Linked DNA regions of Elephas maximus indicus. The protein of the gene in region 1 interacts with the protein of each later gene in a pairwise test. Links are inferred from orthologs where the notes say so. Each region holds a gene or a part of one and is shown in the gene's direction. Other genes may lie near its edges. The genes, in order: SPG21, CTPS2, RTN4 and AKIRIN2.

Region 1 (8,058 bases):
TCCAGGAAACTTCTTTGCTTTTGGTCCAGTGCAGTTGAGCTGACCTTCCCTGTATTGAGTATTGTCCTTCCCTTCACCTAAAGTAGTTCTTATCTACTAACTAATCAGTAAATAACCCTCTCCCACCCTCCCTCCCTCCCCCCTCTCATAACCACAAAAGAATGTGTTCTTCTCAGTTTATACTATTTCTCAAGATCTTATAATAGTGGTCTTATACAATTATTTGTCCTTTTGCATCTGACTAATTTCACTCAGCATAATGCCTTCCAGGTTCCTCCGTGTTATGAAATGTTTCACAGATTCCTCACTAATCTTTACCGATGCGTAGTATTCCATTGTGTGAATGTACCACAATTTATTTAACCATTCATCCGTTGATGGACACCTTGGTTACGTCCAGCTTTTTGCTACTGTAAACACTGTGCAGGGATATTTTTATAAAAATAATAAATTTCTGCTGCAACAGTGCACAAAAATTTTATAGACAGTTATTTTGGTGTCACCCCCTCTGACAGTGTCGCCTGGTGCAGTCTGTACCCCTTACACCCCCTTAATGATGCCACTGATCCATGAAATGAAGAATCATACCTACTTTGCAAGGATTGTCATGAAGAATAGAAATAATATATATAACACACCTAGCACAGTGCCTGGAACACAGTCAGTTCTCAATACCGATACTATTAGCTAATATTTACTGAGTGCTGGCCCCATTTCTAAGGATGTGACATGGACTATCTCATTTTATCTTTGCAATAACCTTGTAAGGCAGGTACTGTTATTTATCTTCCTTTTTCTGGATGAGGTGACCAAAGCGCAAGAATGTTAAATAGCTCATAAGTGGTGAGCTGGTATTTACACCTTGGGTTTGTCTGACTCCAGTCTGAGGGCCTAACCATTCTAATACGCTGCCTCTACTTGCAAATGTTTTTATCCTTCATCTGGGAATTTAAGGTGTTAGACTTTGGCTTTCAGAAGCTAAGGAAGGAGCACACATGCTAATCCAGTGCCCGTTATATGCAGGGACTGTACTATCCGGTTTCAAAAAGATTTTTCTCATTTTAGTCACAACTTAATCACTGTCTTTTTTTTACCTTTACAAATTTCGATAATTCTCTAGAATCTTACAGTCAGAAGCTGCTTTATTTTGTATTAAAACAGTGACACTCTTGTTTTCCAAGATTCTTTATTGCTGTTTTTATCCCAAGATGGCAAATTACCAGCTTTTACAGGAGGGACATTATGAGCTCCTGGGTTGGCAGATGATACAAAAAACTCGGCACCTTTGCTTAGCAGTTCCTATTTTAATAAGTGAACAGTTAACAAACAATAAGTCTTCCAACAAGTTAAAATACTGTTTCAGTTAAATCGGCATTTTTTGTGTATAGGCTAATTTTTTTAAAGTTTAATTGGAAATCAGAAAGGGGGGATTAACAGAAGTTTTTCAAGGAAAGGCTATTGCAAAGATTTTTAAATACGTTCCTCATAAATTTATAGAATACAAGATCTTAGAATCAGAAAGGACTTAGAGACCTTTTAGTCCATCCTTGGACTCTTTTTACAGGGAAGTCAAGTCAGGCCTCAAGAGGAAATGTCTGCCCAGGGAAAGAACTCAGGTTTCTTAGTTACCCAATCATAACTAATTAGCAATGATAAATAACTGTATATAACTCCTCTTTGATGGGGTCTTTAGGTAGCAGGCTAAAGAAGAGCCATGTCAGCATCTTTCTTGGGCAGTTCCAGAATCCCCACTTGTCTGATCCCTAGAATCCAGTGCAGTGTGCATTTGACACAGAGCTGCATTCATTTTCAGTCTTGGGTTTCAGCATAATTGGTATGTAACACTGCAGTTAATCACACCTCGAGAAGCTTTAAAGAGAGGTATTTCAAGAATTGGTATTTGTCTGAAAAACCAAGTGTTTTGTTACAGATATTAAATTCACAGATTTTAAATGTTCCTTATTTGGACAGGAAACCCTGGTGGTGTAGTGGTTAAAAGCTATGGCTGCTAACCAAAAGATCAGCAGTTTGAATCCACCAGGCGCTCCTTGGAAACTCTATGGGGCAGTTTTACTCTGTCTTATAGGGTTTCTATGAGTCGACCACAACAGGTTTGGTTTGGTTTTGGTTTTGTTTGGATTAGAAAATGGACAATGTGCTTGTCATGTGATATGGAATAACTTCAGGACCCAAACATGACTGTGGGGTCCTTTTCACTTTTTCACAGATCCATGGTTCCTGGAGGCAAAATGTGGGTATTCACTCTAAGCGGTTCACTGGAGGAAACAGCATATATCATGTGAAACCACATGGGGTATTTGGGACCCTTGCAGCAGCTGGTATGATGAGAGTACCTTGGTCCCATAGAGAGGTCGGTCAAGAGCCTGACCTGCTCAAACGAGCTTGGACTTTAGTTTGAAGGCAGTGGTATTGAAAGCCAGGGAGTCGCACAAACATCCAAAAAAACCAAACCCATTGCCACTGAGTCGATTCCAACTCATAGTGACCCTACAGGGCAGAGTAGAACATAGCTGCGTTTTATTATTTTTATCACACAAATACATGAATGCATTCTTATACAGATTCAAATACTACATCTAAAGCCAAAAGATTTCTTCACCACCCCCTCACCCTACCTTCAATTACTCCTCAAAGATAATCACTATCCTGTTTGGTGTGTATGCTTTTCAACATTAAAAAAAAAAAAATTCACTGATGTATATATATGCATAGAGATATATCTAGAATTGTCTTTTAGGTGTGTTTTAAACTCTATGCATGTGTGAACACAGTTGCTTGGAGTTGAGCCCTTCTGAGACCCAGCTGGCCATGTTTACTTTGGTGTTCACAGCATATTTTGTGAGCATTCCAGTTTTCACATGAGATTCTAACACAGGGACTGGTGCTGTGGGAACCATCTGGTAGACCCCAACCACAACAGCTGCAAACCCTCCCAGCAACATCCACAATGTTGGCCTGCACTGTGGTGTACCCTGGGTCAAAAGTTTGCTGCCGGCAGCTGTGCCTTACAGGACAGCTGGAATTCCCAGGTATTAAATGTTCCTTGTTCAGATTAGAAAATGGGCAGTTTGGTTGTCATGTGTTATGGAACAACTGAGGATCCAAACAGGGCCATGGGGTCTTTTTCTAATGGAAACAAGCAAACTAGTCATTATTTTTGGGGTCTAATCTTTTACATTGTAACAAAAGTAGGTACATAACAAAACATAGCTTTATACCTGTTGCCTTTGAGTCAAATGGACTCATAGCGACCCTATAGCTATCTAGTGATATGTTTTTTTATTATCAACAGTCAAGTTCAAAATTATTATTACCAAACCTAACAGACAAGGACTTCTAATATTTATGGGCATAGTCAATCCATAGCTTAGATCTCATCAGGGCTGTTACTAAAGTGAGGTGTAGGGATGTGAGGTCTAAGGAATCGTAGGAATACATGTGGATGGATTTATTCATTCACTCATGCATGCACGTATTCATTCATTCAACATGAGTGGGAATTGACTCTGTGGGATACAACACTCTCATATACGTACCTGGCCTCCCTGTCAGACTGAGCCAGTGGCCATTTCCTAAGTGACTCTTAGCTTTCCTCCCACTTCTGTGCCAATGTTCCAGTCTTCTTTCTGTTTTATCCTGATTGCTAACACAAACCTTATGTCTTTTTGTATTTTTCCAGTGTCTCTTTAAAGTTCTTGTGAATTTTTTTGGTTTTTAATGGAAATAAATTATTAGGACATGTCCTATGGCACTGGCTGAACCCCTGTTGCCTTTGCTTTCCATAGAAGCTCCTGGCCACCTTGGGGACAGAGAACAAATGTAATGAGTTTCCATAATGGGTTTTACATACAAGGAGTGATTTGAGAGCTATTCCATTCATTAAACTATTCTAAATTTTTGAGAAAAGCCCTCTAATGTTGGAAACATGCCCTATACGCCAATATGGTGCTTATAATAAAGGATTACTTCCTGTGACTGACTCTGAATTCTGAAAGAGGTGATTTGGAGAAAATCAGGTGACTGTGTCACTGTGCTCTTGGGAAATACATTTGGTATTTGTCCAAGTTCTAGACTGGGACCCACAGCTCCTGGGCAGAGAGGACAGAAGTCATGACTAAAGACGCAATTTACTAGTCATGTCCCCTGACCTGAATTTTGTGAACACTAGACAGGGTAAGGGCAAAGTCTGAAGAAGGCCTTCCAGTAAAGCAGATTAGGGAGAGGCACTTTCAGCAGGACCTTGTTGCAAGATCATACAGGGAGATTTACATGTTGTTCAGCCTTATACATTATTTCAATGCAAACCTGCGACTATTTTATTGACAGGATGTCGTGACTTTTCCAGGACCTTGCTTGAGAACAGTGATCGTAAGTACATCAACATTCTCTATGCCCTTAAGGGTAAAGTGATGGAGCAGGAAGCTCCTTCGGAGCCTGTTCCGGAAATCCCCCAGAACGTCAGCACACAGCTGGAAAGGGAGGTGGGGCACTCGCTACCGTGCCAGGAAAAGAGTATACAGAACCCCGTGCCCCAAAACCTGGAACCCAAGGGGATGCCCTCAAGCTTTACACGGCAGAGGGGAAACGGCGGGCACCTACTTTCTCCAAGTGGACGCGAACTGAATGCAGAAGCGGGTCCCAGGGGACCCAGCGCTCTCTTCTTTCCCACGACTTTCCCCTAGATGCCCAACTCAGTACAGGCGACCGAAAGCCGACCCAGAGGCAACACAGACCTGTCAGCACCTGACGCCACAGCCAGGTGCGGCGCCCGCTGCCCCAGCCTTAGGCGGGATCCCGCGAGCGTCTAGGAGCCTCCGACCCCTGGCGCCAACCCGCCGCGTCACCATGGAGACCGCCGGAGCCACGCGGCCCGCCCCTTCCTCGTGACGTGGCCCCGCCCGCCGCCAAACCCGGAAGCGCAAGGCCGGCGCCCGCTGTGCGGAGGGTGCGGGAGGGGGAGCGCGGCGGCGGAGGCGGTGGCCCAGGCTCGCTCGGCTGCGCGCCCCGCCCCTCGGAGGCCGGCCCTGCAGCGCGCCCCTGCCGCCGTCCGCCCTGCGGGTCCTGAGCGCTCGTGCCGGGCCCGGACCCCCGACTCCCCGGCCAGCCGCCTCCCCGGCCCGAGCCGGGCCTGAAGGGGAAGGGCCGTGGGCTGACCACGGCAGGTGAGGGGTGGGCGAGGCCGTGGGAAGTGGGCTGGGGGCGTGTGTAGGGTGCGCGGCTGCTTCGGTCGGTGTGACTGTACGGGTGGCCCCGAGTGGGCAGGTCCATGTGACGGTGTGCGTGACTGCAAGCCTGTGTGTGTCTGTGTCTGTGTGTCTGAGGCCGAACCTGGGTCCTGGGGGTGGTCGCTGTGCCTGGGGCTCCGCCTTTATGTGGCTGCAACCGGTGGGCCCGGGTGAGGGTGGGTGGGGGATTGTGTGTGGGTCGCCTCGGGGAGCTTGCCCAGGCAGGGCATCCTCCTGTAAACCCAGCCCGGGCTACGCAGCCTCAGCCAGGAACATTTTTTTCGGTAAACTTTTAGGAACTCTGGGCAGAGGCTGGTTATTTCGGAGATTGCACCTCAGCCTGAAAGTCACAAATGCCTTTGTCATTGCTGAGGAAGGCCAGGTATGAGGCTCGTGGATGAGGGTGAGGAAAGTCACAGCGCTAGGATGTCTGTTTTCCTGGGGAGCTACAGGCTTGGGCTTAGGCTGCTGCTTTGTTTTCACCTACAAGGGGTGGTCCAGCTCCAGTTGGCACAAAAATCCGAAAGACTGAGGAGTAATTTAACAGTTGTGTCCGAATTTCCAAAAACTTTTATACCGAGAGCACAAGATGCCGTGTCACAGAAGAGATGCTGAGCAGACAGCTTTTTCTTCCATGAAGTTTAGAAAATAATGGAATAGGTTCCTGAAGAAAAGGATATATCTTCCCTGAAAATATATTTAAAAGATAGCTATGTGCTGGTGTCTAGGTCTGGAGACTTGCCTTAAAAAGCCGATTGCATCACCTAGAGACTCCTGGGTACTATTATTTTGTTATTGTTGGTATTAATAACAATCAGAGACTGTCCATATGTAGATCAACTATGGGTTGAGGTAAAAGATGGGAAGTCTCTGACTGGGTAAGCTCATTATGTGACTTCTTAAACGTTTGTGAAGGCCATTTTGTTGCCTGTAACCTGGCTGGTTCTGTTGAAATCCTGAGGGACAAGTGTCTGATCCTCCAGGCAGGCTCAACGGCTGACAGTTTTGTTGTCCAGCAGCATAAGGGCCAGGGAGGACTGGGTGTCCTCAGCACACCCTAGGACAGATTTCCTTAGGCAAGATTGAGGCTAATCTATTTGGCACTTTTCTGACCAGCACGAAAAGGTGCTTTTGTGTTTTGTGAAGAACTGAATTGTGAGAGATCAAATCAGTATTGAGCTCACGATGCGCGTTCTTGTTTAATACTGGTCAATTTGGTCACAGCCTTGGTTCATCTTCTCTGCCGTGTTCAGAATGTACGTCTTGTGACTTCAGTGGATGAAGGAGCCCCTGGGTAGTGCACACAGTTAAGCACTCAGCTACTATCAGAAAGGTTGGTGGTTTGAATCTGCCCAGAGGTGCCTTGGAAGAAAGCCCCAGTGATGTACTTCTGAAAGATCACAGCCATTGAAAAACCTATGGAGGAACCCTTTTCCACTTACTGTTGTGGGGAAGAGGTCTGTGCCTGAGTGAATTTGTGTGCCTGTGTATGATGCGTACATGCCTGTTAGTATAGTAGTTAGGTTTGTACATTGCAACTGATCCCAAAACTGTGAACAATAAATTAAATTATTACTCTGAAACACATGGGATGGCCAGGAGTGAGAATTGTCTCCACAGCTACTGGTTGGTTTAGTGGATGGGAAAAAAGGTAGGAGAACAAACTTTCCTTTTCCTACCACTCACAGCTGCTTTGCCTTTGCTGCAGTGAGATTTTTTCCAGGGAGATGTCTGTTGGTCAGCCGTAACATTTGGTATCTCTGTTGCCTTTCAAGTACTGCCAAACTAGCACAAGTGTTACAATCACTTGTCTCCATAAAAATTTAGTCACAGTTGGATGTTATATCTCCATCCAGCAGGGTTAGTTATAAAATGTTATAATACTTAGGTGGTTTTGAATAGGACTGAGGACTGTTGGTAAGGAACTCCTTTCTACTGATCGCCTGCTGTGGGGAAGAAGTCTGTGACTGAGTGGATTTGCATGCCTTTGTATGATGCGTACATGCATGTTTGTACAGTAGTTTGGTTTGTATGTTGCAATTGATCCCAAAACTCTGAAGTTTATTTTATCTCAAATTTGGGGAATCTAGAAGCAGACTTTCTGCCTTTAATTAGCTAAGATGTTTTTATAAATCTATCAAGTAGATTTTATTTGCTAAACATGTTTTTTATATTGCTTCCTATAGGATAGAGTAATTGTTTCTAGTGATGCATTACTGTAACATGTCTAGTATTTCAAATCCGTCCAGGTAAAAAAATACAACAGGATTAATTATATGTGCTAGTTGCTTTTAACTAAAAGTAATAATCAGCTTAGGGAGAGACTCCAGCTCAGGTGGCTTAGATTTTTCAACGTGGTAATATTTGTGAAGATGAAATGGATATGCAGAGAATGGTGTTCTTTATTTCTGTGTGAGTAATAACCACGTCTGTGCACATTGATTTTCAGCACAAGACTGGCTGATGATTTTCTTGGTACTTCAAAGCAACTTATGATTTTAACAAGCTTTTCTAAAACTACCGTCTTAGCCTTGAGAGAAGAGACCATTATTACAATGTCCGAGTTGTAAATCAAGTTTAGTATTGGAATGTCTAGATTTACTGTCTCCTTATTTTTAGGGTTTAGTTTAGTAACACCTCAAGGTTAGAGGTGACAGCAGAGACTGCTGCGTGTCCTGTGTTCCTGAAGGGCTAAGGAGGAAGAGCGCCACTGGATTTAGAACCCCTCACTCCTTGCCAGTCCAGAGGACTCCGTCTAAAACGACAGTTCAGCGTCAGCCAGGAATAAAATCCTAGAGTCTCGAACTCGTCT
Region 2 (7,556 bases), on another chromosome or scaffold:
AACCCTATATCCTGTGGAGAAAAGTCTGGCTTTGGAGACAGACATTTTGGACCGAAGTCCTTGCTTTGGCACTCACATTAACTCATGTACATTTGGACAAGGCACTTCCCATCTCTGAGCCTTGGGTTCCTCATTAGAAGAGTATAACGGCCCTGGTTGTAAATTGGAAATAAAGTACTGAAATATGGAAGGAAAGCCTTGTGTACCTGGCAGGTAATAAGTATTACTGTTGAGATCACCTATTTCACAAACATCCTTTCCACTGGGTGCTCTAGAAGGCTTGCTTCATTGATAAACCCATCTATCTGTATCTCCAGCCTTTTCACAAGGTGTTTCCTCCTTATTTCGGCCTTTACGGAGACCTGGGTCTCCACTGGAGCCCTGGTGGTGCAGTGGTTAAGCATTGGGCTGCTAACCAAAAGGTCGGCAGTTCAGATCCACCAGTCACTCCGTGGGGCCCCCCCATGGGACAGTTCTACTCTGTCTTATAGGGTTGCTATGAGTCAGAATGGACTCTACAGCAATGAGTTCTTTTTTTTGTAATGAGGATCCCTAAGGATGACCCCGAGTAAAGCCTGTGCTCATTTTCTCAGAAGCTGACATCAGTATCCCTAGCCCCTTACTGCCTCTTCCACAACACATCTCTTTCACCCTTCATAGGAGAAAGTCTCCCTTTTGTTTTGAAACAAATTTTGCTATACAACTCTTTAGGCAGCTGTGTGGGGCAAATGGTTAAGTACTTAACTACTAGCCAAAAGGTTGGCAGTTTGAACCCATCCAGAGGTGCCTAGGAAGACAGGCCTGGTGATCTGCTTCCGAAAGGTCACAGCCTTGAAAACCCTATAAAGCCCAGTTCTACTGTGCACACATGGGGTCGCCATGAGTTGGAATCGACTTGACAGCAACTAACAACAACATACAACTCTTTATCCTTCTCTGTTGTCTTCATCTGTTAGCTCCAGGGTTACTTCCTACATTCACTGAAGATTTGGGTCCTGGGCCTCAATTTACTCCTCAACTCCCACCTCCTTCATGCAGCCCTCAATGCCCAATACACTCGCCTTGTAAGTGCTAGATCCAATTCCAGTGATCGCCATCTCACTTTTTATTCCGTATGAGTGGTCATACCCTACATCTTATCATCTCCTCTAACTGCTTCCCCTTTGAAGTCTTTGACTCCCACATCACACTCTCTGGTGACAGCGTACCAGTTCTCCCATTCTCATAGGCCCTCTTTGAATTGAGCCTCCAGTCTTTTTTTTTTAATAATTTTTAATGTGCCTTAAGTGAAAGTTTACAAATCATGTCAGTTTCTCATACAAAAACTTATATACATCCTGATTTACACTCCTAATTGCTCTCCCCCCAATGAGACAGCACACTCCCTCCCTCCACTCTCTCTTCTCTTGTCCACTCGGCCAGCTTCTGGCCCCCTTTGCCCTCTCATCTCCCCTCCAGATAGGAGATGCCAACATAGTTTCATGTGTCTACTTGATCCAAGCAGCTCATTCTTCATCAGTATTATTTTCCATCCCATAGTCCAGTCCAATCCCAGTCTGAAGAGTTGGCTTTGGGAATGGTTCCTGTCTTGGGCTAACAGAAGGTCTGGGGACTATGACTTCTGGGGTCCTTCTAGTCCCAGTCTGACCATTAAGTCTGGTCTTTTTATGAGAATTTGGGGTCTGCATCCCACTGCTCTCCTGCTCCCTCAGAGGTTCTCTGTTGTGTTTCCTGTCAGGGCAGTCATCGGTTGTGGCCGGGCACCATCTAGTTCTTCTGGTCTCAGGCTAATGTAGTCTCTGGTTTATGTGGTCCTTTCTGTTTCTTGGGCTCATAATTACCTTGTGTCCTTGGTGTTCTTCATTCTTCCTTTGAGCCTCCAGTCTTTTGATCCTTCTCTTTTCTTTTTTCCCCATCTCTTAGCTCCCTGCTGGGTTCAGTTCCTTTCCTCTACACACTAGACCCCTATTCCATTACTACAATCTCACTCTTTTAGCACCCTCAACTCCCTCCCCGTCTTGTCCTTCTACTGTACCCAACCAGCAATCTCTGCTTTTATCATAAGTATCTATATTTTTTTATCTATGTTTATCTATATATATATTTGGAAACCCTGGTGGTGTAGTGGTTAAGTGCTACAGCTGCTAACCAAAAGATCAGTAGTTCAAATCTACCAGGCGCTCCTTGGAAACTCTATGTGGTAGTTCTACTCTGTCTTACAGGGTCCCTATGAGTTGGAATCAACTCAACGGCAATGGGTTTGGTTTTTTGGTTTTATTCTATATATCTTGCAAAATTATAGCTGAACATCACTACACAATTATGGTTCTTAAACTTCACTAGGTCTTCAGTGAAGTCCCTGAGTGGAACAAATGGTTAAGTGCTCAACTACTAATCAAAAGGTTGGTGACTGAAACCTACCCAGAGGTAGGTTCTCGTGATCTGCTTCTGAAAGGTCATAGCTTCTGAAAGGTCATAGCCTTGAAAACCCTATGGAGTGTAGTCCTACTCTGCAACACATGGGATCATCATGAGTCAGTCAGAATTGACTTGATGGCAACTGGTTTGAATTTTTTTTTTTTTAGTGACACTTGACTAACTTGTCCCTCTAGTGTCTCAGACTGGTTATTCAAAACTTTTACCACTTTCTTAAACCTTCCATTTCACTTCAAAACCTTCTATTTTCTGTAGATAGCCCTGGCTATACGATAGAGAAAACAGAAGTCCTCTTTCTGGGCCAAACTCTTTCAGCTTCCCATCCCTATACGCACACATTTTCTGTATTCTCACCTTTCCTTACCTCTTTCCCTCCAATCTCAAAGGAAGAGACATTTCTCCTCTGGCTGAAAGCTAATTCTATCCATCTGCACTCTATATCTCTTCCCTGGGACTCTAATCTTCTCTCCTGTATCTTTAACTTCTCCCTCCTTCCCTTCAACCCATAAACATACTTAAAATTTACTTACCTATCATTTTTCTGGAAACCCTGGTGGCGTAGTGGTTAAATGCAACAGCTGTTAACTGGAAGGCTGGCAGTTCGAATCCACCAGGCACTCTTTGGAAACCCCATGGGGCAGTTCTACTCTGTCCTATAGGGTCTCTGTGAGTCGGGTTTTTGGTTTTTATCATTTTTCCACTGCTTCTTTCCATTTCAGGCTTTGCAAAAGGCTGTCTTGACTTACCATCTCAATTTTCCTTACTCTTCGATCCATGAGCGATATGGTTTCCGACCCCACTGCACTGCTGAAAAAGAGTTCCCGTGAAGACGCTGGTTGCTCTCCCTAAATTGGAAGTGTACTTTTCAGTCTTTACTTCCCTGTGTTCTCTGAGGCACCTGGCAGACAGCTCAGGAGCACCTGGCTTTCTGAAAAAAAAAAAACGATCCTCTCCTGCTTCTTTCCCTTCTTGTTTGCAACCGCTTCTGCTCCTATTGCATTTGCTAGTTCTCCTTCTAGGTAGGGCTTAGCTCTGAGGAGAGAAGGGCAACACCTTTCTTTGAGATAGCTGGGAAGCAAGTACAGATAAAGAACAATTCAGATCAGTGGCCTTACTGGCAGACAATTTTTAAACAAATTCCCTTTTTACATATCATTGGTGATTTCCAGTCCTCTTTTTCTTTCTCTACACTGTTTCCTTACATAAGTTCAACACTGGTGGCTTTCACTACCTATATCTCTAGGTCCTTTTCCTGATCCCTAAACCCATACGCCCAGAAGTCTAGGAAGACCTCTTACCCTGCTGGCTCCTAGATCCCTTAGTTAGGCCCATAGCTGAAGGAGTTCTCCTCCTTGGTTCAATCTGATTTGTTCCTCTGGTACTCCCTGATTTGGTAAAGATAGCACTGTGCATCTGTGCCTCCTCCTCATCTTCTACTTGGACCACTCCAAAGAAAACCAGACCCTTAAAAAAAAGACCCTTAGGCCCCTGAATATAGTTCCTAGAATATGCACTTTGTTTTCCTAAGGTAGGAGGGGGTTAGCACTAACAGCAAGACTTTGCAAGGAGAGACCCCTTTTAAAGGCAGTAACTTAGGGTCTTTGAAACCAAATGCCCTTATTTGTAAGCCGCTGGGTGGCATAAGGGTTCAAGTCCACCCAGACACCTCCGAAGAAAGGCCTGGCGGTCTACTTCTGAAAAGTCACAGCCATTGAAAACTCTGTGGAGCACAGTTCTACTCTGACACGCATGGGGTCACTCTGTGATTGCAACGGTTTCTGTTTTTGGTCCCTACTTGTAAAAGGAGGTAACAATGCAAATGAGAAAGCCTGTTTAAGGGAGCTGTTACCTAGCAAATGCTCAGACACCGTTAGAGTCTTTCTCCTGGTGCTTTGTAAGCTCTTCCCTTCTCCTTAATAACCTCTGGTGTCCTTTCTCAACACCAGCCAACCACCAAATCCTCTTAAGTTACTCTGAAGCTCTGATTGTTCTCTGACTTCTCCCCCCGCCCTCCAGCAACTTCTCCTTCTATGAAACTTCACTGATTCCAGTCCTTTTGTAGCTCTCCCGCCAGACGGCGAGCCCCTCAAACGCAGAATTCCGTTTTCTTTCGCCCTCTCCTGAGCGCTCCTGCAGTTTCTGGCGCATAGTCAGGGATCAGCAAACGTTTGTGACAGAGCGCAGCTCTTCACAATAGTGAGAGCTGGACGGGAGGACCCAGGCTGGGGGCTTGGCCGCAGAAGGGGCCGGGGCTCGCCGGGGACCGTGAAGTTAACCGCGCGTCGGGAGTGCCAGTGCCAAGTGAGCTGCGGCTGGGGGAGCGGGTTGGGAAGAGCGAGGCCTGGGGCCGCGGGCGCCCCGGGCGGTGGGCGGGGGCTGGCGGTGCCAGAGGAGGCACTTTTAGCGCTTGGTGTTGGCCGTTGCCCAGACTCGGGTGTCAGCCCCAGGCTCCCCGGCCAGAATCAGCCGGGCGGGCTGCAGGGCACAAGGGGAGAGGCCCGCGTGGGCGGCGGGAGGACCGGTGGGGACTCCGGACACCCCTAGCGGCGGCCGCCTTCATCGCCCGGTCCCACAGGTGAGTGCCAGGCAGGCCGCGGGGCGGAGCCTGCCGTCGCCACCGGCCACCCAGCCCGGCGCCGCCACCACCGCGCAGGTAACTTCCCGCCCGGGTCTCCCCCGCGCCTCCGGGACCCCCAGAGCCTCCGCGCCCGTGCCCCTCGGCCGGCCCTGTGCCCCCAGCCCCGGCGCGCCGTGGCGCCTTTGTCCCCCGCCCCGATGGCGGCGGCGCTTGCCCCTGCGCAGAGTCCGCGCTCGGCCCAGAGCCGGCGTGTCCCGGGAGTGGGCCGGCGCAGGGAGCCGGGGCACCGCCCTGCCCGCGCCCGTCGGAGCCCGCCCGTGGGCGTCCGGCGCCGGGCGTTGCCCAACTCCCTCTCCGCGCCGCGGCGCCCCGATCCCTCCCTTCCTCCCCGCACTCGGGGCCTGAGCGCCCCGGGACCACGCTCGCGGAAGTGGGGCCCCGCGCCGAGGGCCATCCCCTTCCCCCAGCCGGGCGCACTTGCAGCAACAACCCTGGCTTTCCCCCTTAATAGCTGGCTGTGGAGCACGGCGCTGAACTGCGCTAGTGCCACCAAATAGCTTTTTTTGGCATCTTTTTTTTTTAAACCGATGTTTAATTTATATACAGTAAAATGCACCAGTTTTAAGTGTGCAGATCAGTGAGACTTGACAAATTATACAGCCGTTACAATCACTCCCCCAAAGGAGACATAGAATGTTTCCATCACCCACTTTCCTTCGCGCTCCTTTCCAGTCAATCCCCGCCCACAGTTCTGATTTCTGTCATAGCTTACTTAGTTTTGCCTGTTCTAGAACTTAATAAAAATGGGATCATTCAGTGGATACTCTTTTCTGTTTGACTAAAAGTAATTTTTAAGTGGCCATCACTGAGAAGGGGTCTTCTGGTGTTTGGTGTGTGCTCTGGGTCTGCGAAGCCCAATATGGTAGCACCGCCACGTGCGGCCACTGAGCGCTGGAAACGTGGCTTGTCTGCGCTGAGATGTGCTATGAGCATACGCAGCTAATTTCGGAAGACTTAGTACAGAAAAAGAATGTTAAATATCTCATAAATGAAATTTTATGTTGAATACTCGTTAAAATGATAATATTTGGAATGTATTGGGTTAAGTAATAACATTAAAATTCACTTCAGCTGTTTTCAATTTTTCATGTGGCTACTAGAAGATTTAAAATGAGACACGTGGCTCACATATTTTTGTTGGACAGCGCAGCTCTACGCTCCTATTTTAGAAACATTTGGCTCTGCTTCCTGTTATTACAGTAAATGAAAAAGTTGAATCTTCACAAGGGAAGCTATTCCCATCGCAAGGAAGTGATCTAAAACAGAGCCTGACTTCTGCAGGTTTTAAACTTTGTTTCACTTACTTGTTTGCTTAAAAGAGGTAGAAAGGACTAGCTATAGCTGGGCGATAAGTTACATTTTCAAGGACTTTCTAAAATATCGCAAGTGCTTAAAAAGGCACCCTGTGTGTGTGAAAAACAGAAAACTAGTAATTGCCTACAACCCAAATGCCTAAATATATTAAAAATGAACATTTTGGTGTACTTTTGACCAGTCATAATTAAACTTAGTTGAGATAATATTGTGTTCAATTTTATATCATGCTTTTTTCACGTAGCATAGGTTTTAGAATATGGTAAAATTAGAGAAACAGTTATTTTCCCTTTAATCCCGTGGGAAATGTGAAATCTGAGAAGACAGAGATGTTGTCTTTTTTGTTTACTCCTATAGCCCCAGGAACTGGGAACAAGTCAAGCACTAATAAAATAAAAAAAACAAACCCATTGCCATCCAATTGATTTTGACTCGTGGTGACCCCATTTGTTATAGAGTAAAACTGCTCCACAGGGGTTTCTTGGTTGTAATCTTTATGGAGGAAACCCTGGTGGTGCAGTGGTTAAGTTCTACAGCTGCTAACCAATAAAGGTCAGCAGTTCGAATCCACCAGGTGCTCCCTGGAAACTCTATAGGGCAGTTCTACTCTGTTCTATAGAGTCTCTGTGAGTCGGAATCGACTCGACGGCAACATGGCTTTTTTTGCGTGTATTTTAATCTTTATGGAAACAAATTTACAGGCCTTTCTTCCATGGTTCCACTGAGTGGGTTCGAACCACCAACCTTTTGGTTAGTAGCTGAGAGCAAACCGTTTGCACGACCTAGGGACCTTCAAGCACTAAAAAAAAAAAAAGCACTAATAAAAAAAAACCCGTTGCCGTCGAGTCAATTCTGATTCATAGCAGCCCTGTAGGACAGGGTAGAACTGCCCTGTAGAGTTTCCGAGGAGTGCCTGGTGGATTCGAACTGCTGACCTTTTGGTTAGCAGCCGTAGCACTTAACCACTACACCACCAGGGTTTCCTCAAGCACTAAGAGATGTTCGATAAACACTTGAGAGCTGATCAAATAAGTGAGTAGGTGGCGCTGAGAAATGGTAACAGCTACCTTTATTTATCCCTTATGCATGCTTTGTAAATCCCCAAATAAGTCTCTGAGGTAAGTACTATTATTACCACTATGTCACTAGGGTTTCCATGTGCTGGATA
Region 3 (7,320 bases), on another chromosome or scaffold:
GTGGTTCACAGCTGTTGAGATAGGTTTGTCTGGAACCCAATTCTCCGGCAGTGTCTGAACCCCCTCTGGAATCCACATCCCACGATGTAAAAAAAAAAAAACAATTAACCATTCTGCATATACCAGGTTATATCAATTCAGCATTTTCTGCAACAATGTGTAATACTATAAAGAAGAAATGGGCTGTTTCGCTAAGAAGTGAGTCTCCCTTTGCTGAAAATGTTCAAGCACGTTTGTGTCTGTTTTATTCAATGCTGTATCCCCAGAGACCTAAGCAGTGCCTTAAAAAAAAAACCCAAAATCAAACCTGTTGTTGGCCAGTCCATTCCAACTCATAGTGACCATACAGGACAGAGTAGAACTGCCACATATGGTTTCCAAAGAGCAGCTGGTGGATTCGAACTGCCCACCCTTTGGTTTGCAGTCTGAGCTCTTAACCACTGCACCACCAGGGCTCCAGAACAGTGCCTGGTACATAGTAAATACCCAACAAATATTTCTTGTGTGAATGAATAAAGCAAAATTGGATGATGTTTCAATTAGCTTTTGCTGTGTAATGAACCACCTCAAGAGGTTGAAAATAACAATGATTCATCATTTTTTATGATTCTGTGGGTTGGCTGGACATCTGAGATGGCCTCACTCTCATTTCTGGGACATGAGTTGAGTGGCTCAGATGGCTAGGTCGCTCTGACCATGTGATTTCCATCTTCCATAATGAATACCATTAGCTGCCTTCCGGTCAGCTCTGACTCATGGCGACCCCATGCACAAGGGAATGAAATGCTGCCCAGTCCTGCATCATCCCTGTGATTGATTGTCGTTCACCCTGATGTGATTCATAAGGTTTTCACTGGCTGATTTTCAGAAGTAGATCTCTAGGCCTTTCTTCCTAGTTCATCTTAGGCTGGAAGCTCTGCTAAAACCTGTTCAGTATCATAGCAACAGGGATAAATAGTCTAGGTTTTTTCACAGGGCCTCAGCATTCCAAGAGGGGGAAAGAGGAAGCTGTAGCGCCCCTGGTGGTTAGGCTTGGAACTCACTTCTAGAATATTCTATTGATCAAGTAAGTCACAAGCCCACCTTAGGCGAGGTGAGGCGATAGACTTCAACTCTTGATGGGACTTGCTGCGAAGAGTTTGTGGCCATTTTTAATCTACCACAGAAGACCAACTTTATAAACCTTCCTAGGGAGTTCTTGTCATGGAGGGAGGTAGGTCAAGCTGACCTCTCAGAACCCTTCTGGCTCTGAGATTCTAGGAGTCTCTGAACGGATCTCAGGTAGTGTTCTGAGAGACAACAGTTCCTAAGAAGTAGATATCTGGGAACTTTAATCCTTTACTTCTGGTAAGATCATTTCAAAGATATTTCACTAAATAATTATTCTCAAACTCTTATGATTTAGAATTTGCATTTTTTCCTTAAGCGTTCCAAACGTCCACCAGAATTTTGTTAGCGAGAGCAGCCTTTGCATCTAATTACACTAAGGCGTAACTAGCTTATAATTCTGGTATAGCAGCAACGTTCTCCTTTCTTTGTGCTTTGTTGACCATCCTACAGACGCTGGGTAAATGCCTTACTCTTATTCACGCATCAAATATTAATTTTTAGAAGCTGCTGAGATCAATAATATAAAATTCTTATTTTTCTTCTGCATCAGAGGAGAGTGCATCAGAATTCATCGCTGTTTACTATTAACGTTGCAGCTCTACTACTTTTCCGTAACATGGACTATACTCATTCTTTTATAAAACTTTCAATAGATTAAGAATATTCCTTTGAGACTATTTTAGTAGTAGCAGGTACAGAGACACAGGAATACAGAAATATCACATAAGTAACTTACAGATGATACAGGAGAACCCTGTGTAACTTCCCATTCAGCTGTTTCAAAACAACCATAGTAGGAGAAACAGCCGAACTGTGACTTCATAGAAAAAGTTTGTACCATAAACATTTTGCTAGTATATTTTTGTATATGTATACAATTAGTTGAAAATCATGTATATTTTAGGTAATTTTTGACAAATACTCAAAACGTGACTATTTCAGTCATCATTGTAGGAATCAGTTTTAACCTGGCATTACCTTATCAGCAAAATAAGCCAGTAGAAGGTTTGAAGAGAGAAGTTTTAAGTTGAAGACAGAACATTTGTTAACCACTAAAAACCCCATTGCTGTCGAGTCAATTCCGATTCATAGCGGCCCTATAGGACAGAGTAGAACTGCTCCATAGAGTTTCCAAGGAGCGCCTGGTGGATTTGAACTGCCGACCTCTTGGTTAGCAGCTGTAGCACTTAACCACTAAGCAACCAGGTTTTCCTGTGTTAACCACTATCACCCCCAAATTCTACTTCAATGCTTTTCTCTTCCTACTCTTTTCAAAAACCCCAACCTAAACAAACCCCAAACAACTCACAACCATTTCGAGAGTAATAAAGCCAGTTTATCTTTGTGGAATTAGTGCTAGGCCTTAAATGTATTGTTGATAGTTCACTGGATCAGGTAACATTGCCAGGAAATCTTGTTCTACGTTTTTTTTTTAGATTCCTTTTTTTTTTTTAGGGTAATAGGGCTGCTAACCAAAAGGTCGGCAGTTCGAATCTGCCAGGTGCTCCTTGAAAACTCTATGGGGCAGTTCTGCTTTGTCCTATAGGGTCACTATGAGTCGGAATTGACTTGACGGCAGTGGGTTTAGGGTAATACTAATTAGTTAGAGCTAACAATTTGCTTAAATAACCTGCGATTCTCAGCAGCAGTTAAAATATCTCGATCATTAATCTAGACTACCACTGTCCAATAGAGATATATTCTGAGCTATATATGCATTTACAAGTTTCTGTAGTCACATTGGAAACCCTGGCCGTGTAGTGGTTAAGAGCTACAGCTGCTAACCAAAGGGCTGGCAGTTTGAATCCACCAGGCGCTTCTCAGAAACCCTTTGGGCAAGTTCTACTCCGTTCTTTCCGTTGCTGAGTCAGGATCGACTTGATGGCAACGGTTTTTTTTTAATAGTCACATTAAAAAAGTAAAATGAAACAAGTGAGATTAATGGTATATTTTACTTATCCCAACATATCCAAAGTATTATCAATTTCAACCAAAATTAAAAAAAGATATTTTATATACTTTTTTGGGGGGGAGAGTAGTCTTTGAAATCTGGTGTGCATTTATGTTGACACAGCACATTTCGAGTGCTCTGAGCCACAAGTGACCCGGGGCTACAGCACTGGCCAGCGCAGGTCTAGAGCGAGCAACTTGAGAGCACGTTATCCTCGTCTCTCCAGGGCCTCGCGGAGAAGGCATTGCAGAGAAAGGTAAAAGAATCCATAAACCTCCGGATGCTGATTCTTTTATGGTCTGCAACCACGTTCTCTAAACGTTCCAGTTTGGGGAAAAGAGGAATAAAGAGCAGACTCATTCTGGCGTATCCAAGTAGTGTGTATCGGGCTTCCTGACTCCCAGAAAGCCTGAGTCATCCGAGATGTCGACGGACGAGCCCAAGGTGACTGGGGAGGTAACGCGAACCCCATTTGCCTTCCGAGGCGTTCTTTGTTTCCACTTCCCCCTCTTCCCCGTCTCTCTTCGGTGACTCATCCATCCACCATGTGAACGTCCAGCCACGGTGCCCAAAACCCTCCCGGAGGGAGATGAGCGGACCGCGAGGCCCTCCACCCCAAACGCCCCGATCCTCTGCTCGGCCCTATTTGCCTGCGTCATTCCAGGGCTGCAGTTCAGGCGGGGAGCGACCCTAACTGTCAAAACAAACTTCTTGGGGGGTGATGAGGTGGGTTGGGAATGTTAAGTTTGGAAAAAAGTCATCTTTTATTTCAAATTCTTTATCAATTGAATGTGTATTTAAATCACGAAGGCCTCCTTCCACACTATGGGTTTTTCCCTCTCCGGGGAGGAAAGTTTCCACACCGCGCCCCCCGCCCAACAGGATAACGCCCTTCCGGTGGTGCGCCAGAAAGCCCTCCGACCCCTTCCGGTCCGCAGTCGGCTCCGGGTCGCTGGACTTGAACGACAAACCGACCTCCAGCTACCGGGCAAGGCCGAGACCCCACCCAGTCGCCCATCCACCCAGGGTGGGGGTGGGGCTCCCAGGTCCAAACCCCGCCCACGGAACTCATGCCCAGCCGGTCAGAGAGAGGAAGTGCGCCAAGCCCCGCCCGCCGTCATCTCTTTCCCTTCCCGTTGGGCCGGCTGGTTGTCCATCTCGCCCATCTCGGCGCCGATTGGCCCTCTCCCTCCCGCGCCAGTCGCTGCCCCGCCCGGGGGGAGGGTGAGTCACGCCAAAAGGGGCGGGGCGTCGGCTGGCCTCTCCTTGGTCGCCTGGGCGGCGGCGGCGGCAGCTGGGGACCGGGCGGCTGGCGCATCAGCGCGCGGAGGCAGGAGGCGCAGGCTCATTGTTCCGGGAGTCGTCGGCCCTGCAGCTCCCTCGGCTCGGTGGGCCCGGCCCGCTCCGTGCTCCCCGCCCCCACCAGCGCCGGCGCGCGGCGGCGGAGAAGCGGCAGCACCGTCTGCAGCCCGGCCGCCATGGAAGACCTGGACCAGTCGCCGCTGGTGTCCTCGTCGGCGGACACCCCGCCCCGGCCGCAGCCCCAGTTCAAGTACCAGTTCGTGCGGGAGCCGGAGGACGAGGAGGACGAGGAGGAGGAGGAGGACGAGGAGGACGAGGACGAGGACCTGGAGGAGCTGGAGGTGCTGGAGAGGAAGCCCGCCGCCGGGCTGGCGGCCGCCCCGGTGCCCGCCGCGCCGGTGCCCGCCCCGGCGCCCGCCCCGGCGCCCTCCGCCCCGGCGCCCGCCGCCCCCGCGCCCCTGCTGGACTTGGGGGATGACCTGGTGCCCCCGGCGCCCCGGGGCCCTCTGCCGGCCGCGCCCTCCGCCGCCCCCGAGCGCCCGGCGCCCTGGGACCCCAGTCCCGCGGCGGCCACGGTGCCCGCGCAGAGCCTGCCCGCGGCCGCAACCTCGCCCTCCGCGCTCCCCGAGGACGACGAGCCCCCGGCCCGGCCGCCCCCTCCTCCCCCGGCCGGCATGAGCCCCCAGGCTGAGCCCGCGTGGACCCCGGCCCCCGCCGCGCCCCCCTCCACGCCGGCCGCGCCCAAGCGCAAGGGCTCCTCGGGCTCCGCGGGTGAGTGCCGCGCCCTCGCCCCTTTGTGTGCAGCTCCCGACGCGCGCCGGCCCGCCCTCCGGACCCCGGGGGGCTTTGTCTGCGGACGGGGGAGACGGGTGGGGCGCCGGGGAAGCCCGGCTTCATTGTCTGGCTGGGTTTCGGGGAGCACGTGCACCCCACCCGCTCCCGACCCTCCCTTCTCCCCTTCCTTCCCTCTGGTCCCCATTCCACTGCGTCCCCGAAGTGGGGCACGCGCCGTAGTGGGTGTGGGTGGAGGAACTGGGGTTGTGGACTCACTGGGCTGGCTTGGTGTCGGGATGGGCAGCCCTTGGCGCCCTAAGCTTTTAGGAAAGGCTTTTGTCTGCCCGTCTGGGAAAGGGTGCAGCTTCACTGCGGGGCTGTTGTCATTCAGCCCAGGGCCCCCTTCCCACCCCCTCGCTAGTGTAGGCAGTCCCCCTGCGCTCCAGACTCCACACCCCACTTCTGCGCTAGTGGGGAGCTGGCCTCATGGAAAAAAACGTCCACACTGACCCAGCCGCAGTGTAGGGAGAGCGCCTCCAGTGGTGTGGTGCGGGGACAGTTGGGGAGGAGAGGGTTCTGGCCAAGCCTGCCACCGCCCAGTTTAGCAGGCTTGTGAGGTGGCGACTCCCCACCAGCTGAACTGAGCCTTCGAGACGCCATCTGGGCATTGTGGTCCGAGGGGGCGCAGTTCTGCCAGGCTCTCAGGGGGAGGGGGCATTGTTAGTGTGGACCGATTCGGCCTCGATGCACCATAATTTAAGGGGGTTGGGGAGACAGCAAAATGGTTGACATCCTTAAAGAAGAGGAAATCTGTAGATTCCTTGCTGGAACCCGGCCAGTTGGACTTGTGACAGATTCCCCATGAGGCTTAATGAAATATTTTGGTTAGATATACTATTTCTGAGAAGTTTTAGGTCACCAGTGATAAACCTGTATGGTCTCCAAGAGTTTTTAAATCTTAACTCGTATGCGTGGCTGATTGTATATTGTTATTATTTTTCAGAACATTGTTTTATTACTCTTTTCATCTTGGGAAGCTATTTAGGAAGAGAAAAAAAATCAAGCTTGTTAGAGACTGGGGGACTTGTTAGGTGCATGGCTCAGTAGGTTGTTCTTTTGGGACACAAAATGCCCTACCAGCTGTGTAACCTTTCTTTAGGTAAAAGGTCAAGAATCAGGTAGTATAAATGCTTGCTGAGAAATCTTCATAGCCTTGTAGAATTTTAGAAGTGAGTGGTCCATTTTCTAGAAAAAGAAAATCAGTTTGAGATCACACAATAGATTTTTTTTTCTTCCAGTTCACTCCTATCCTTTCAGGGAAAGTAAGCCAAGTGCGACAATGCTTCTGAAATAACGTTTCAATATTGGCTGCCCCACAGCACTGCTCAGAAGGTCTTAGAAGATGAGAAGTAATTCAGTCTTTCCTTTTTTCTGTATCAAAAAGAAACACTTGAGGGAAAATAAGGTGATGGATAAAAATATAAAGCAGCGAGAAATTTGCAGAAAGGAAATGTAATCATTGACGAAAGCATACTGCCTTGTTATCTTGGATCCCCGAATAGGAACTGAGAGGAGAGTTCTGTTCTTTGACCAGTGGTGGTCCAGGAGGTAACTGCGTTCATTCTCTTAGAATCTTGACTGTTGGAACCCTAAACTTAGGAGATGAGAGAATACTGCCTTTCTTAGATGCAGGAACATGGTGGTTACAGTCATAGATAGCCATATCAATGAGTCTAGTCTTCCTAACACCGTTTTTCATTGGATCAGCAAATTATTGATTGCCTGACGAGATAGGCACTGTTCTGGGCTCCGAGGACCTAGCAAGAAGCAAGACGTGTGCCTGCCTGGGGGCAGGGTACAGAGAATAAACATGGATAAGAAACTTGAAATGGTGGTAAGTGCTATGAGGAAAATAAACTGGGTGACGCCATGGAGAATGTTTAATTAGGATGTGTGAAATGTTCCAAGCAGCTCCTGGGGCAAAGGCTCTTGGATGCTTGAGAATCTGTAAGAAGGCTAGTGAGTAAAACCAGGGGGAGAGTGGTGTAAAAGGAGGGTGGAGAGGTGACTGGCACGCAGGTGCTTTTTGTTGTCTAACAGGCCATGGTAATAATTTGGTCTTTTTAAGCAAATACTGTTTATTTTAGAAATATGCTCCTGAAATTTAATTTTATTGTGATTTT
Region 4 (7,521 bases), on another chromosome or scaffold:
GCTCAAGCACTGCGCCACCCGGGCTCCCCGCGACAGGGATAGCCCAAGTTATTTCACTTAAATTAGCTTGCCAGATAATTGAAACTTTTTCTTAAATACTATCAATAGGACATTTACTAATATTGTATTGGAATGTGAAAACTGAAACACTTTTTGAACAGCCTGCTAAACTTAGTTTGAGGTTTTTCTTGATGTCTCAGGGTCACTGTCTTGCACAGCATTATCTAGGGTTGCCAGCTAAAATATAGGACACTTAGTAAAATTTGAGTTTCAGAAAAGCACATACAATACTTGATCTGAAATTTAAATTTAACTGAGCTTCCTATATTTTTCTTTGTTAAATCTGGCAACCCTACCATTATCACACGGTGCTATAATAACGCAGGGATGCTTCAGGTGCAATTGAGCTCTGTAATTGTCCTGATGTTTAAGTGGCTCAAGGCCGCTGTGCTTTTTGAATTTTGTAGTTTTTTTTTTTCTTTTAATAGTCTTTTTCCTTGCTCTTCAGTGATTTCTATTGTTTGTTGTAGTCAGTGTACAGCAGCATCTCCAGTCCTCTTTTCCCACTCCTACTTGATTCTTCTAATTGGTTTGGGCTGGGAAATAGAATCCCCAAACGAGATAGAATATTCTGAATTTTTAAGTTAAATAGTTTCAGAGTAAGGTACAGAGGTTCTCCCTTGAGAACAACACCCTGCAAATTTTAAAGTAAGGACTTCTTATAATCCTTCCACAGAAATTTCCATAGAAATCGTGCTGTGTTCCTTTGAAAGTCCCTCAGGATAAGTGAGTTATAGCTTATTTCCTGGAGTGCTCTGTTCTTTATAGAGCACGATACAAGTAGAAATCAGCTTCTAATGTAGAAAAGATTAAAGCCAGATTAGAGAATTTGCAATGGTGTTTTTACACTTGACCAGGATTCTGGATGTTGTTCCAGAAAATCTTTAGGAAGTCAGACAGATACCTATCTGGTTTGAGCAGAGTATAGGTATTCTTGCCTAGAGGCTTGAGGCTGGACTATGTGACATATTGAGGTTACTTGAGGCCATATGGCTTTGATTACTCTGTAATAGCAACTCAAAATAATGACACAAATTCAGAATAATGAAGCCAAAGTAAAATTAGCCAGCATCTTATCTACAATGAAGAATTGTATGTATTTCAAACATGGTGCTTAGAAGAGGTTTGGGCCAGCCTACAAAATCTTGTGAGGAACCAATTACAATGTCTATTCTTCCCTAACTGTGCTCATTCACACTATGATTAAACATTTTAATGCTTATTCTCAATGTAGATCTGAAGTAGCTTCTGAATTAGAACTGCTTTTCCTAATGCTGACCCTATGATTACTCAAACTCAGTACGCAGTTAGCAAACGTCTCTCCACACCTCATGTATTTGCATTTATCTTTACTTGATGTCAGAAAAACCGTCTGAAGATGGTTTTTAATATGAAGAGGCTCTTCAGGCTCAGGATGATGAGACTTTGTGTCACCCAGCCATGTCTACTTTTACTGGCTTTAGTCAAAGAATGACTCATCAGAATCAGATCCTAGGGAATATTTTAGGAGGTGTTAGAAAAGCCTAATGCTAAGTTATTCCAGCATGTTGGTAAAACAGTTTTTCTTCAGAGGCTTCTGAGATTTGTACAAATCAGAAAATACTTGTTAGATGATGGGAAAACTATTCTAAATAATTCAAACCTCTAAAATTCCTTAAAAGCCTTTTAGTCACAACAAGAGCAATTCTGGTCTTCGTAGATCACTGGAGTCACTTGCTGTACTCAATATTTAGGTTCATGTAACCTGATTCAAATTATTAATGTGTTAAATATAGTTTTGTTTTTCAATTGTAGTCGAAGATTATTTTAGGTTTCTTCTTTTTTTTTCCTCCATCAGCTTTCTTCTACCCTAAAACGGTTGCTATAATATTTTAGCAGATATCTATCTTAAGGCACAGGGTGATGTGGGCCGTGGGAGGATGTTTTTGTGAGTTGCCATGGAGTCTATTCCGACTTACGGGGACCCCATGTGGATAGGGCGATAAAAATAATCCTTTAAGAACATTCACTGAGTATTTATTAAAGAGTAAAACGCACTGTACTATTGGCAAGGAGCTTACACAACGATGAGAGAAGCAGATTTATGAACAAAGAATTATATTACAATGTGGTGAGGGTAATGATGAAGATAATTTATCACTAGTAAAACTAATTCAGCCCTGAAGGGTTGAGAAGACTTCCTGGAGGAGTTAATCCCTGGGGTGAGTCTTAAAGTGTCAGTAGGCACAAGCCTGGGCAGTGTTTTTCAGTTGTTCGTGGGGTCGCTATGCTGGAGGCTGACTGGAGGGCAGCTAACAACAACAACCGAAAAAAAAGAAAAAACCAAACCCATAGTTTCATGGGTTTCATGGATTAAAGTTTAGTATTTAGTAAAAATTTATCTAGTAAGTGTCATAGTTAAACTAGTATCTCATTAAAAGCTGATCTTTTCAAAAGATATTTTCCACAGTATAAGTTAAGATGTACATGGCTTAGTTGTTGAGACTAACCTTGTGATCAGGACTGCTGATCTTTGAAATGCTGGACAATTCTATAAGCACATATTGAACTACTATCCAAAAACAGTATAAACAATAATAGACAAAGTGGCTACAAAACATCTTTTAGTTACTGAATAAACGGGCATTGAAAGCCAGTATTTGACATCTATAATCATTTGATAGAATGCCATTCACATAAAATAGTTTGTATTAGACTGGTGACAGCTTCTATAGGCCGAGGACATGCTAGTTCTTACTAACGCTGTATTTAATTATTTTAGTACCTGAACAAGAGTATAATTTTCATAAACTTTTTTTTCTCTGCTTACAAAGTGGGTTCAGTATTTACTACTTACACATTTTATTTGGGTCCCTGGGTGGTGCAAACAATTTGCTCTTTACTACAAACCTAAAAGGAACCCTGATGGTGCAGTGGTTAAGTGCTTGCCTGCTAACTCAAAGGCAGTATGAACCCACAAGCCACTCCACAACAGGAAGATGTGACAGTTTCTGTAAAGATTACCTGTTGCCGTGGAGGCGACCCTACAGGACAGAGTAGAACTGTCCCACACAGTTACCAAGGAGTGGATGATGGATTTGAACTGCTGATGTTTTGGTTAGCAGCTATAGTTCTTAACTACTGCGCCACCAGGGGTTCTCTGTGAAGATTATAGCCTTGGAAACTCTATGGGGCAGTTCCACTCTGTCCTGTAGGGTCTCTATGACTCAGAATCCACACAATACCAATGTGTTTGATTGGGTTTTCGGTACTAACCTAAAGGTTGGGGGTTGGTGTTCATCCAGTGGTGCCACAGAAGAACGATCTGGTGATTTGCTTCTATAAAAATTTTGTTGTTGTTAGGTGCTGTCCAGCCAGTTCCGACTCATGGCAACCCTACCTACAACAGAATGAAACACTGTCCAGTCCTGTGCCATCTTTACAATCCCTGCTGTTTGAGCCCATTGTTGCAGCCACTGTGTCAATCTATCTTGTTGAGGGTTTTTCTTTTTCAATGACCCTCTACTTTACCAAACATGATGTCCTTCTCCAGGGACCGGTTCCTCCTGATAACATGTCCAAAGTACCTGAGTCAAAGTCTAGTCATCCTGGCTTATAAAGAGCATTCTGGCTATACTTCCTCCAAGACAAACATTATGAAGCAGTTCAGCACATGGGGTTGCCACGAGTCGGAACTGACTGGACAGCAAAGGGTTTGGTTTTTTTTTTTGGTTTATACATTTTATTGTCTTTTTAATTCTTACCATCCACATAGGATATACGCCAATATGCAACAGAGATAATACAATTTCTCATATTATTCGCTTTTTATCCAAAGCAAAACAGTTCGGTTCTGGACATTGTTCAAATCCTATTTATTACAGAAATAAAACTGTCTTTGCAGAATTAAGTGGATGCAAGCAGCTACCTGGGAAGGGGAAAAAATCGAGTTCAAATGAGGACCTTGTAATCTAATAGTGTCGCTCGCAGTCCTAACTGGGTTCCATAATCTCATTTTCTAGCCCCTCGATGTGACAGGTTTTGGAACTCTTATTATTGAAATTAACCTTTCTTGGACTGTTAGGTTGGTTTAGTTTTGTATTTCCCAGTTGTTAACTCACTAGGGGGAATTGTATGAGAATAACTACCTCCTGAGTTTTTATGGTCTGTATATTTCTTAATCCGCTTTTGCCATGGGTTTGCTCTCCTCTCTCCCCCTCCGGCTTTTACCTCTTTAGCTCAGTTCCTTTTACATTCAAGCTGTGTAAGGGGGATTTAAATCCAACCCGGAACTCGGACTCTCCCGTCTTGCAAGACGGGAGTCGTAGTTTGTCCGAAGGTATCTCAGCGCCTTTCGGGCCGAGTCTTTCTCACGGAGAAAAACTACAACTCCCATAAGACACCCTAAGGGGAGGGGGTGGCACCTCCCTTACGCGCACGCGCCTTGAGGCCGCAGGATTTGAATCGGCGGCGTTGTTGTTGACGCCATATTGGGGCCGGCGGCGGGTGGAAGAGTCATACAGTGGAGAGGAAAGCGGCTGGACGTGTTTGTTTGAGCTCCTGAAGCCGCCTCACCTCGTAATCCCTCCGCATCGACCGCCGCTCGCAAGCTACTGACCCTAGTCGGGGACTTTAGGAGCCGCGTTCAAGCCTCACACTTCTCGGGGTTGTTATCGACTTCCGAAGGGAGCCAGTCTCATCGCGGGAGCGCCTCAGGCGCGGCGCAAAGCTCGCACGGACGGTGGGGGCGGCCAGAGCCTCTCCCCGGGGAGCCGCGCCTGAGGAGGCGGAAGAGCCCCCCCTGACGCGGCTGGCGTGAGCCGCCGCCACCGCCCCTCTCGTTCCTGCCCCCGCCGGCCCCGGCCACTGCCCTGCCGCGGAGGCGGCGGCGGCGGCGGCTCTCTTCTCCTCAGCCGGCGTTCGGCGACCAGCCTTTATCTCTGTGAACCCGTTGGTTAGGCTTTCTCAGACCCCGCGTTCCCCCTTCCCTTCCTCTGCCTCCCCCCCCTCCCGTCACCCCTTCCCGACCCCACCCGAGCCCGGCGCCTTCGCTGCCCCCGGCCATGGCGTGCGGAGCCACTCTGAAAAGGACTCTTGATTTCGACCCACTGCTGAGCCCGGCGTCCCCAAAGCGGAGGCGATGTGCACCGTTGTCGGCGCCCACCTCGGCCGCTGCCTCTCCGTCGGCGGCGGCAGCGGCCACAGCCGCCTCCTTCTCGGCCGCCGCTGCCTCGCCGCAGAAGTATCACCGAATGGAGCCGTCCCCCTTCGGCGATGTCTCCTCTCGCCTCACTACAGGTGGGTCCTGCCCGCCGGGGTAGGGGAGAGGACCGGGGTCCCGGGGCCGCGGGATGCGGCTGCTGAAGTGGGGGTTCCGGACTGTTCCGCGTGTCCTGAGCTAAGTAGCCGGGCAAGCACATTTCTTTTAATTTGTTTCTCCAGCTACAGAGACACAATAGAAATGGGTTTATGTCATGGGGGTCGGGAGGTGGGGCGGGTAGGAACCGTGTTCTGCCGGTACTGTGGGGAAGAGGACGATGCTTTTCTCTAGGCTGAATGACTGGAATTGAGTGTTTCCGTAGTCGGCAGAGGCCCAGCGGAAACGATCAGATAAGGCGATATTATTCATAAATTTAGGCGAGAGAGGAGTCACATTTCACTCGAATCTCGTCTTTCTTGCCTGAATCGATTGGTTGCAGCTATTAACGCTAGGACGGCGGGGTGGGGGGCTTGAGGCGAGGCGGCAGCCCCTCCTCCAGTTCAGACATGGCTGATTTTAGTATAGAGGGGGTGGGGGGTGGGGATGGATGTCACTGGGGCGAGTTCTAGGCCTGTCATTAATCACCCACAAGAACGCCACTTTGGGTGAGTCAAGACCTGTTTCTTTAGCAGGGTCAACAACAAAGAAAATGCGTTTCCCGGGTACGGTAATATGACCACACAATATGTCAAAACCAAAACCATTGCCGTCGAGTCGATTCCGACTCATAGCGACCCTGTAGGACGGAGTATAAGTGCCCCATAGGGTTTCCAAGACTGAATCTTGACGGAAGCAGACTGCCACATCTTTCTCCTGGTCTAGAGTGTTGGAACCACTGACCTTTCAGTTAGCCGCCGAGCGCTTAACCACTGCGCTACTAGGGCTCCTTGCTAAACGTCTAGACCCCGAGGAATACTGAACTTCTAATGACAAGCAAATGGTATTGGAAACACGGGCTGAGCATTTGCTTTTAGTTGGAAATGCTTTATTTCTGCCTAAGAAAATATGTTGGGAGAAAAAAGCCTAGGCATTGAGAGTAATAAATGAACCCCACATTCCGAGGGACTTTTTTCTTTTCATGTTGAAACATTTTCTGAAAGTGACTATGGGGAAATGCCTTTTGGCTGCTCCCTACAGCATGTGTATGCCCAATTTTTTCTGTACTTTGAAAGCCTTGTGTGCCCCTGGCACAGTCCTAGGATAGGCTTTTGTGGACTTGAAGTGTAAATCTGTTTCCTTTGTGTGGAGCACGCAAAGGTTTTGTATATGAGCCTTTGGTAATAATATGACCCTAGATAAAAAGCCTTTTTCATGGCTTGATTTAAATGTCTTGTTATCCTTAGTTTAAAACAAACAAAAATCTGTGGGCAGCATGTAGCTCTGTATTTGGTAACTTCAATTTGAAATTGACTGGTTTTAAATTTTATTGTATTGAAGTCAGGTTTTTAATTTCCCTTTCCAGATGGTTGGGGAGGGGGGGCTTACATACCCAGGCTTCCGTTTTTGCTGTTAAATATTTGGTCTAACTTAAGGGCATGCTGTTTCAGAGTGGTAGTGAGCCTTGAATTCACAGGTATTTTTATTTAATGACCATATCAAAATCATCTTTTGTGTAAAGGCATTCACTGATTTATTGTGAAACTTTACTTGAAAACATAAAGGAAACACAGTGTTCAGGATGAGCTGGTATTTAACATTACATTTAGAGTCTGTCTTTTTAGTGAAATGGTGTCAGTTGAAATGGTATCATGGAATCTGTACTTAACTATCAAGGCCATTTAAAAATAGCTGTAGCTAACCAGCAATAAATTTCCTTCAAGGGGGTGAATTAATACAGTGTTGGGTTTGGGAGCTGTAAGCTAACCAGCAATAAATTTCCTTCAAGGGAGTGAATTAATACAGTGTTAGGTTTGGGAGTTAAAGTATATTTCAGTGCTGAAACAGTCTTGAGCATATGGTAAGCCAGCCCGAAGCTGTACCATTTTCCCCACTTTAAAGGTAACTTATTCCGAAAGAATTGTGATCCTTTGAAAGCCTGTAATCTAATTTATATATTTGTAGCATTGGTTGATGCAGTTGGCTCTGAGTTATCTCACATATTTCAATTGATTAAGTGGACTTTAACAATAAAACAGTTGGAATTGTTAAAGCCAGCTACTTCAAATTCACTTTCATTTTCAAAACACTGGTTATGTCTTCTTCAAGGTACTTTTCGACATCTG

The links.
Region 2: the proteins of SPG21 (region 1) and CTPS2 interact in binary tests that used the Homo sapiens proteins (3 or more experiments, as listed by UniProt). The two-hybrid records come from large-scale screens. The link is inferred for Elephas maximus indicus from reciprocal best matches to the Homo sapiens genes SPG21 and CTPS2.
Region 3: the proteins of SPG21 (region 1) and RTN4 interact in a two-hybrid assay, tested with the Homo sapiens proteins (2 studies listed by BioGRID and IntAct). The two-hybrid records come from large-scale screens. The link is inferred for Elephas maximus indicus from reciprocal best matches to the Homo sapiens genes SPG21 and RTN4.
Region 4: the proteins of SPG21 (region 1) and AKIRIN2 interact in binary tests that used the Homo sapiens proteins (3 or more experiments, as listed by UniProt). The two-hybrid records come from large-scale screens. The link is inferred for Elephas maximus indicus from reciprocal best matches to the Homo sapiens genes SPG21 and AKIRIN2.

Annotation. Positions count from the first base shown.
Region 1 is NC_064831.1:55,137,389-55,145,446, reverse strand, and holds the start of SPG21 (maspardin), read left to right. Parts: upstream 1-5,049; 5' UTR 5,050-5,183; intron 5,184-8,058. UniProt on the Homo sapiens protein: May play a role as a negative regulatory factor in CD4-dependent T-cell activation.
Region 2 is NC_064846.1:162,888,643-162,896,198, forward strand, and holds the start of CTPS2 (CTP synthase 2), read left to right. Parts: upstream 1-4,526; 5' UTR 4,527-4,737; intron 4,738-4,812; exon of another isoform or gene 4,813-5,089; intron 5,090-7,556. UniProt on the Homo sapiens protein: Catalyzes the ATP-dependent amination of UTP to CTP with either L-glutamine or ammonia as the source of nitrogen. Constitutes the rate-limiting enzyme in the synthesis of cytosine nucleotides.
Region 3 is NC_064844.1:7,147,647-7,154,966, forward strand, and holds the start of RTN4 (reticulon-4), read left to right. Parts: upstream 1-4,311; 5' UTR 4,312-4,539; coding exon 4,540-5,134; intron 5,135-7,320. UniProt on the Homo sapiens protein: Required to induce the formation and stabilization of endoplasmic reticulum (ER) tubules. They regulate membrane morphogenesis in the ER by promoting tubular ER production.
Region 4 is NC_064819.1:151,247,837-151,255,357, reverse strand, and holds the start of AKIRIN2 (akirin-2), read left to right. Parts: upstream 1-4,516; 5' UTR 4,517-5,102; coding exon 5,103-5,337; intron 5,338-7,521. UniProt on the Homo sapiens protein: Molecular adapter that acts as a bridge between a variety of multiprotein complexes, and which is involved in embryonic development, immunity, myogenesis and brain development.